Daphnia pulex: one gene and its partner. The main gene of each other region encodes a partner of the protein of the gene in region 2 in a complex. Links are inferred from orthologs where the notes say so. Each region holds a gene or a part of one and is shown on either strand. Other genes may lie near its edges.

Region 1 (3,762 bases), on a different chromosome or scaffold from region 2:
TTCATTTTCTTCAGCTACACTGTAATACAAAGAAACTAAATGACGAGCAAGGCGTTTGTCATAAAGTTCGTCTTGAGGATCCAACATCAAAAAAATCAAGTCGAACCTTGTTTTAACCAATAAAATTTTATGATGACAATGAAATGGTATATCCAGATGAATGGTACTACCTTGACAATAATGTATGAGGCAGTTCAATGTTCTCGATGATGGTTTTGTCTTTGTTCCACTGAGATTCGATTGGATTTGCTCCGGCCAAGATCGATGTACGAGCATTTAGCTGACAGATGATACCAGCTTTAGCAATGCTCAACGTTTGTTGTTCCATTACCTATACAAATATATATAAATTAACGCTGAATCCACTAATAACTAGAATGAACTTTATACTTCATGAAGAATGCTGCGAGTGGCGTCGGACATTTTATCGAATTCGTCAATGCAACAGATACCATTATCTGCCAGAACGAGAGCACCAGTTTGAAGGACAAGCTGCTTGGTTTCAGGGTCTTTTGTCACATACGCAGTGAGACCAACAGCCGAACTTCCTTTGCCAGAGGTATATTGTGATCGTGGGACCAAATTAAAGATGTACTGCAGCAACTGAGACTTGCTAGTACCAGGATCACCACAAAGAAGGATGTTTATTTCCGAGCGAAAACCTCCACGACCAACTTCCGTGAAATCTTTTTTGGTGCCACCGAAGAGTTGAAGGAGAATTCCTTTTTTGATATCTTCATTCTCGTAAATGGATGGAGCGATGGCTCGAGCCAAACGTTCATAAATATCTGGTTTCTTGGAAAGTTCGTGAAGTAATGCTTCGCGTTCAGCAGAAAAACGCGTTTCTTTCCTAAAATGAATTAAACAATAATTATCGATAAAAGATACATGTTACACAAAATATATAAATAAATACCCTCGTTCGGTTTGATTTCGAAGGCGATGGACATCGATTTTGCGATAATGTACAACGTCAATATGAGTACGATAAACAGATTTGACATTGCTTTGAATTGGGTTTACGCGCAACGAAACAGCACGATAAATTCCGGTCACGGTAACGCGATCGCCCGGCTGAACCTTGTCCACTAAGTCATTGTGAGCAAAGACAAACACGGTGTGAGGTGTCTGACCTGCTGGCATGTCATCTATTTAATCAATAAAATTTCCGTTAAATATTTTTAAAAAATTGAAAATATTGCAAAATAGTGATCAGCAAATCTATCTCTACCTGGTGACTCTTGAAGTTTAACCATCTGACGATCGGAAAATTGTGATCTATTGTGAATGATGGAAAAGGAATGCCCTGTGTTGCACATGGCACAAAGAGTTGGTTCCAAAATTCGTCCACGATCAACTTCAACAGAAGCCGTGTTGCTACATACATTGCAGCGAAAGAATGCTTCACGCATTTCAGGAATGATATTGCTCGTGCGAATAACCATACCACTAATAGTGATTAACTGATCAATATCTAAAAGGGTAAAAATATTATAGGTTTTTTTTCTTTCTTGAACCGGTAGAACAGAAATACCTTCAGGATTTAGAGCACGCATGTTCTTGGTTTTGTCGGCACAAAAGGGCCTGACTTGAATTTGATGAGGCAGGATGACATCTGGGTATTTCTCAAAAAACATTTCATTTACAGTCATATCTAACGTCGGGATAACCTCTTGTGGATAGCAGATCAATTGACGATAAAGGTCAGCGTCAAAGGCCTTCAAGTGTGAACAATTCAGATTCAAGAATGGATCTTCCAAATCAGCAATCTAAAAGAAAGATTTTATAATAATAAAGAAATATTTTGTGGGATTAGGAATCAGTTCTTACCTGTTGCAGTTCTTGAAGGTAGTAAGGTTCATTGACATTCATGTTTTCCCCTAAATCCTCTTCATCACTTTGCAAAAATTGGTTGATGAAGCGACAGAATTTAGTTTTACATTGAGACACAACCACATCAGTTCCCCAAATGACCAACTGTGGCCCTCCTGATTCTGCTTGCTCCTTGATTGGGGTCAAATTTCCCTGCTAAAATTTGGATTAGCACATTGAAACAATAAGAACTAGTTAAAAAAGTAATACTTCATTAGCTCCCAAATTGACTTGGCGGACTTTCCTATCAGAACGAACATCAGGACGTTGATGTAGAGGGGTCCCTCTTGCCCCAGAGCGAGGAGTTCTCAAAGATGAAATTGAACTTGGAGTTCCATAATTGAGAGGAGAGTTTAAATCCAATTCACTAATAGCTGGAAATAATACAGAACTGAAGATGACCCTGTTGCTATTTTAAAATACAAGTATATTCACATACCTCCTCCAGGACTCATTCCAATATCCATATCATTATCACCATGATGAGATGGAGTGGAAGGCAAAGGAGCAACATCAGAAATATCCGACATCGCTAGATTCAATGTGAAATGTTTGAAATCGAGGTTTCAATAATCATAAATTATTTAGGTAATTTTATTACCTCCTGCAGAACGACGTCGAGATCTTGAAGTACGGCTACTAGCATGACTTTTTGCTGGACTTGCCATTTTTCATCAAGGGTAAAATCTTATTCAAATTGAAGAAAGACAATAACACGACAATGATATTTGATACACGAATCTGAACTATCGGAACGATAACGGGTCTTGGGCAGTTGGGCTTGACCGCTTGAGACTTACAGAAAACAGAGAAAGGCTTCGCGGCAAAATGTTTGGAGGAGGAGGAGTCGTACCTAAATTGTTGCCAGGTAACATCGGTTACTTTAATTTTACTACAACACTTGATAGGAACGGATATAAAACACTTAATTATAATTTTTCATTTTAAAAAACAGAATTTATAAATTTTAACAACTTTTTAAATCAATAAATGATTAAAATAATACGATTGACATATTTGCCGCCAGGTGGGCCTAAACAACATGGAGTCCAAGGTCTCAGACGTCAAAACGCCCAGCGTGATTTGTATATAAATGAATTATAAAGTGCTTTGAAGCTAAATTGATTGCTCAAAAGGTATTTATGGTGTGAAATTTCATTGTGTTTGATTCAGTTCTAATTATCTGGAATCCTAGAGATCCTACGATTGCTCATGTCATCTACGTGGTTTGTGACCTGTGCGTGCATCAAAATTCTTACCCTGAGCTGTGAAAAGTAAGGATCAAATAGCCAAAGTTATCTCTAATACAATTTGAAACAAGTGATTCAAAGGAAATTGATACAAGTAGTCACAGCTGAAAAATGTTGTATTTTGAGTATTAACACAATGTAAAAGCATCCAACTGACAGCTGTAGTGCAGTGCTATTCCATTGTTTGGCTTGTCCAGTACTTGTTAACAGTTTTCTTAGTTTATGGTTTAAGCAATTTTGGTTTATTTTTATTAAGACTTTTGAAGTTTGCAGTAAAGATTTCATGTAGAGGTGATTAAATATGATATGTGAAGTTCATTCATAGTTTAAGAATCATAGTTAGTTACCAATAATATTTATTTTATTTTTTTCAGAATACCCTTCATTGGAGAACTCATTTGGCCATCATGACTCAAGAATTTCTACCTTTGTGTGATGTGTTGTTCAACATCATTTCGATGGCGTCGTATTTTTGCGACGTCGTTTTCGATGTCATCACTGCTTACACTTTATACCAACAGCAGCAATATGTTTGGCTATCCCTAGCTGTGTTCTTCATCACCTCGTCGTTGATCGTCAGTCAATTGCTTTCGGCCAAATGGTTTCTGGAACGACATTCCTCCTGCCAACCAGCAAACGA
Region 2 (3,435 bases):
TGTTGTGTAACTATCTACAAACTATCTACACATTTGAAATTTTACAATACAAAAAAAAAATAAAAGCATGGCTTACATTTTTTCTCAATGAAATGGTGTAATAAGCAGGATTTTCCTGTGCCTGCACTGCCAATGACAAGAAATTTGAAAAGGAATTCTGAATAAGATAAAAGTAGAATTGATTAGCATTGTGAATTTTTGAACAATAAAAAAATGGGTTGACGTTTGTCTAATGAACAACAAGTAAACAAGAAAATACTACCGAAATTTTCAGCCATCCTTGGGCATACAATTACGGAGAAAGGCTATATTATCAATAAACCGATGTAAAGGGTCTCAGTCTCAAGTATCAGTAAGAAACTGTCAAAACCAGAAATCAACTAACAGGATGTAGCTTTGTGATTGCAAGGAAAGTGATTGGCTATATGAGTTCATGAAGTCTAACAAGTTAGTTAGCAGACGTTTTTTCTCGGCTCAAAAAACAACTTGGTCATTAGCGCCACCTTTTGTATGTTGTATTCAATAGAAAATAAATTAATTTTTTGTAAATTTACCTGTATTCCTGAAGAAATTTTACATAAAAGTTTTACAAAAAGTGTAGCTTTAATTAAATTACAACAAATTGACCGTATTATTTTGCAACAAGCTTGAAATTGATCTATACGGAAGTAAATGTTGAGAATTCATCAGCAGTTCCACTTCTATTTCACCCCTGATAAAATCAAATAAGAATTTTGAATACAATGTGAAGAAAAAATTATTTGAATTCAATATAAACACTTACTCGCTAGTGCCATCGCTCACAAGAACTGAGGGGGCATCATCCTTAACGCATACGAAAACGTAGCTATCTCGGTTTGGAGTTGTAATGAATTTTTGGGTGTTGATTTCTCTCATGTTTGTAGGCATGTGTCTGAGTCCAAGAGTTTTTAGGTGGGTTTCTGTGTTGGAGTTTAGTCTGTCAAAAAACAAACAATATGGTTGTTAGAGGAACTTAACAAAAATAACTGGTAATACTATACTCTTGTGCAAATTTTAATTCATCTTCTGTAAGCAAACTTGGTTCATTTCGTTGTCTTTTGTTTTCATTGTTCAACAAGTAGCCAAGGAATTTTTCTATTTTCTCCAGACGTATTCTTAGGTATGATGTAACTACATAGCGTATTCTTTCAACCTAACATATGTTTTACAAATATATTAGTAAAGGGGGAAGGGCATAATCTTGATTTAGTAGTTCATACTTCCATTCGATGCAAAGCAAATCGAAAATCTGATTTAGAAATGGCCATCAGATTCTCTTCCATGTTCTTTGTCTGCTCTAAAAGACAGTCAACTAGCTCAGTCTGTGGAGATAATAATTCTGGGGCGAGCATTTCATTGAGCCAGCTCTTGACATACAATAATACAGAGGAATGTCAACATCAAACAGGACATTTTTGGCACGTCTAATCATTCCAAACCTCTTCGAGTTTCTTGACGGCTTCAGAAGCAGATAAGAATTCGGCGTCTTCGGTCTCTGATATAGTATCCGCTGTTCCGAAAAGATCACTTAGTTGCGTTAGATTTCCGGAATAGGAAGCCATTATTATTCTTATTCAATCGTAAACGAAATTTTACCACAAGCCGACTGCTATTTGACAGGAGAGGCCTCACAAAACAACGTTTCCCGCCAAAAACAAAAACATCGTTGCATGACTCGGCTAATGAAGCCAGAGCTCAAATGTTCTATTTTTTCCTTGGATTATTGTTCCGTTCTAAACGGGTTTGTTCTTCAAACATTTGCAAAGCAAACCTGGCCCTCTTTGAAAAAATATATCAGTTTAAGCTAAGCGTGTCAATCGACAACAAACAAAACAAGTCGTTTCTGCCATTTGGTTAAGTGCTGGCTCATCGACTTTAAGAATACATTATGCAAATGCAAGCGAGCGGAAACCATGTATATTTTTAGTTACATCTTATATTCTAAGAAAAGATGTTGTGATTTGGCCAAGTTTGTACCGGGCGGACGGTAGTGCCTTAAGGTAGAGCAAGGTAAACAATAGTAAGGCAAACCATCACGGTATACTCGACATTTTGTTCAACTTGAATTTTTTTGCGTTGGCGTTTCGCATTTCCTTCAACTCCTGTTCCATCACAGTTATCGGTGGAATTGGACGGCGAAAAAAGAGAGAACGTTAAAAATGAGGACAAGATTTCGAAATCGAAAGAAGATGGTTTGTTCCTACGTGGCATCCGTGTTCGCGAATACGCAACATCCTTGTAAAAATAAGCAATCTAGTGCTATTATTAGATTACGAAATGTACAGAGATCGCACGACGAGTATTTATTATTTACAAGAAAAGACATCCCTTTTGCGTGGTCTGCTGTACAAACCGTAGGTATATGTACGTATAATTACGTATCTGGCGGCAGGTGGTTAACTAAACAGAGCGGACGTTGAGTGACGAACTGCACATGGACCGTTTCCAGACGATCATTGAAATTGCTGCACTCGGGTCTAAATAAAACCGTCACATAAGGAACTCTAGTTTTCATTTACGCCAACTGTAGCACAAAATGCTACAGTAAGAGAATTAAGGGGTAGTAGTATAGACGGAGAAAACAAAACAAGCTTTTCGGGTTGTCGTGACGTGTTGAGCGCCAAGAAAAAACTAAAAAGAACTAGCGAGGCCGTATTCAAGAGACCGGCTCAAGCATAGCGGGCGTTCAGTCTGTAAGGATCTGGCTAGCGGAGCTGGCTCGATCACTTAAAGCTCCTTCTTTTAGTCCACGAGCAATAAAAACTGCATATCGTTTCGAAAAGCAAAGTTCCGCAGTTCGCACAGTGTGGGGGAATCGACGTCGATTTCTTATTGGGAATATCAACAGCTAGCTACCACAACACATTTATTATCGAGAGGTGAAAACAAAAAAGAAAGTCGATTTCCGGAGTGCGCGCGCTGGCGAATTACATTCAATCTCCTTGTCGCCCGCAAGCAGCCGATATGCGCTGGGAGATAATGCAGTGGTAAATCACAAAATTTTTATCTTCAATATTTTATTTAATTGCTTTTGGTCAGTTCCCATTCACGGAAACAGCTCAAAAAGTCGTTGACCGGATTTCGTATGAAATTATAAATCGATTTAGACTACATATCGATAGCTTAGCATCATCGATTTTATGCGTTACCCAACCCCTTCCAACAAATTTTGTTTCGTCTGCTCTGCTCAGCCGCAGTCCGAATGTGTCGACAAATATGGCGTTCAACTGTTCTATAGATTTCTGCCAAACTACTGGTAAGAAAAGCTGAAATAGATTTGTTTTGGCTAACTAATAAGGTTTTCTTTTCCTCGAGGAAAGTCCCGTGTGATTGAGCAATTTGAGCTTGTTGGAGAAAAATCGATTTAGGCAACGATCTGGTCTGTGTATACGTGCTTTGTTGGAGGGCGAACTA

What was found.
Region 1: DNA replication complex GINS protein SLD5-like (region 2) and DNA replication licensing factor MCM4-like share a complex: the UniProt entries of both Homo sapiens proteins name them as parts of the CMG helicase complex. The link is inferred for Daphnia pulex from reciprocal best matches to the Homo sapiens genes GINS4 and MCM4.

The regions. Positions count from the first base shown.
Region 1 is NC_060020.1:7,895,130-7,898,891, forward strand, and holds the start of DNA replication licensing factor MCM4-like, read right to left. Parts: upstream 2,688-3,762; 5' UTR 2,541-2,687; coding exon 2,474-2,540; intron 2,405-2,473; coding exon 2,312-2,404; intron 2,247-2,311; coding exon 2,083-2,246; intron 2,029-2,082; coding exon 1,831-2,028; intron 1,770-1,830; coding exon 1,535-1,769; intron 1,475-1,534; coding exon 1,232-1,474; intron 1,149-1,231; coding exon 917-1,148; intron 851-916; coding exon 391-850; intron 332-390; coding exon 171-331; intron 107-170; coding exon 1-106. Other genes in the region: uncharacterized protein LOC124192073, read left to right, coding at 3,530-3,762. UniProt on the Homo sapiens protein: Acts as a component of the MCM2-7 complex (MCM complex) which is the replicative helicase essential for 'once per cell cycle' DNA replication initiation and elongation in eukaryotic cells.
Region 2 is NC_060022.1:2,233,849-2,237,283, reverse strand, and holds DNA replication complex GINS protein SLD5-like, read right to left. Parts: upstream 2,119-3,435; 5' UTR 1,584-2,118; coding exon 1,461-1,583; intron 1,389-1,460; coding exon 1,242-1,388; intron 1,175-1,241; coding exon 1,023-1,174; intron 959-1,022; coding exon 785-958; intron 713-784; coding exon 613-712; 3' UTR 541-612; downstream 1-540. Other genes in the region: ras-related protein Rab-4B-like, read right to left, coding at 77-157, 263-278; tau-tubulin kinase homolog Asator-like, read left to right, coding at 3,162-3,277. UniProt on the Homo sapiens protein: Required for correct functioning of the GINS complex, a complex that plays an essential role in the initiation of DNA replication, and progression of DNA replication forks.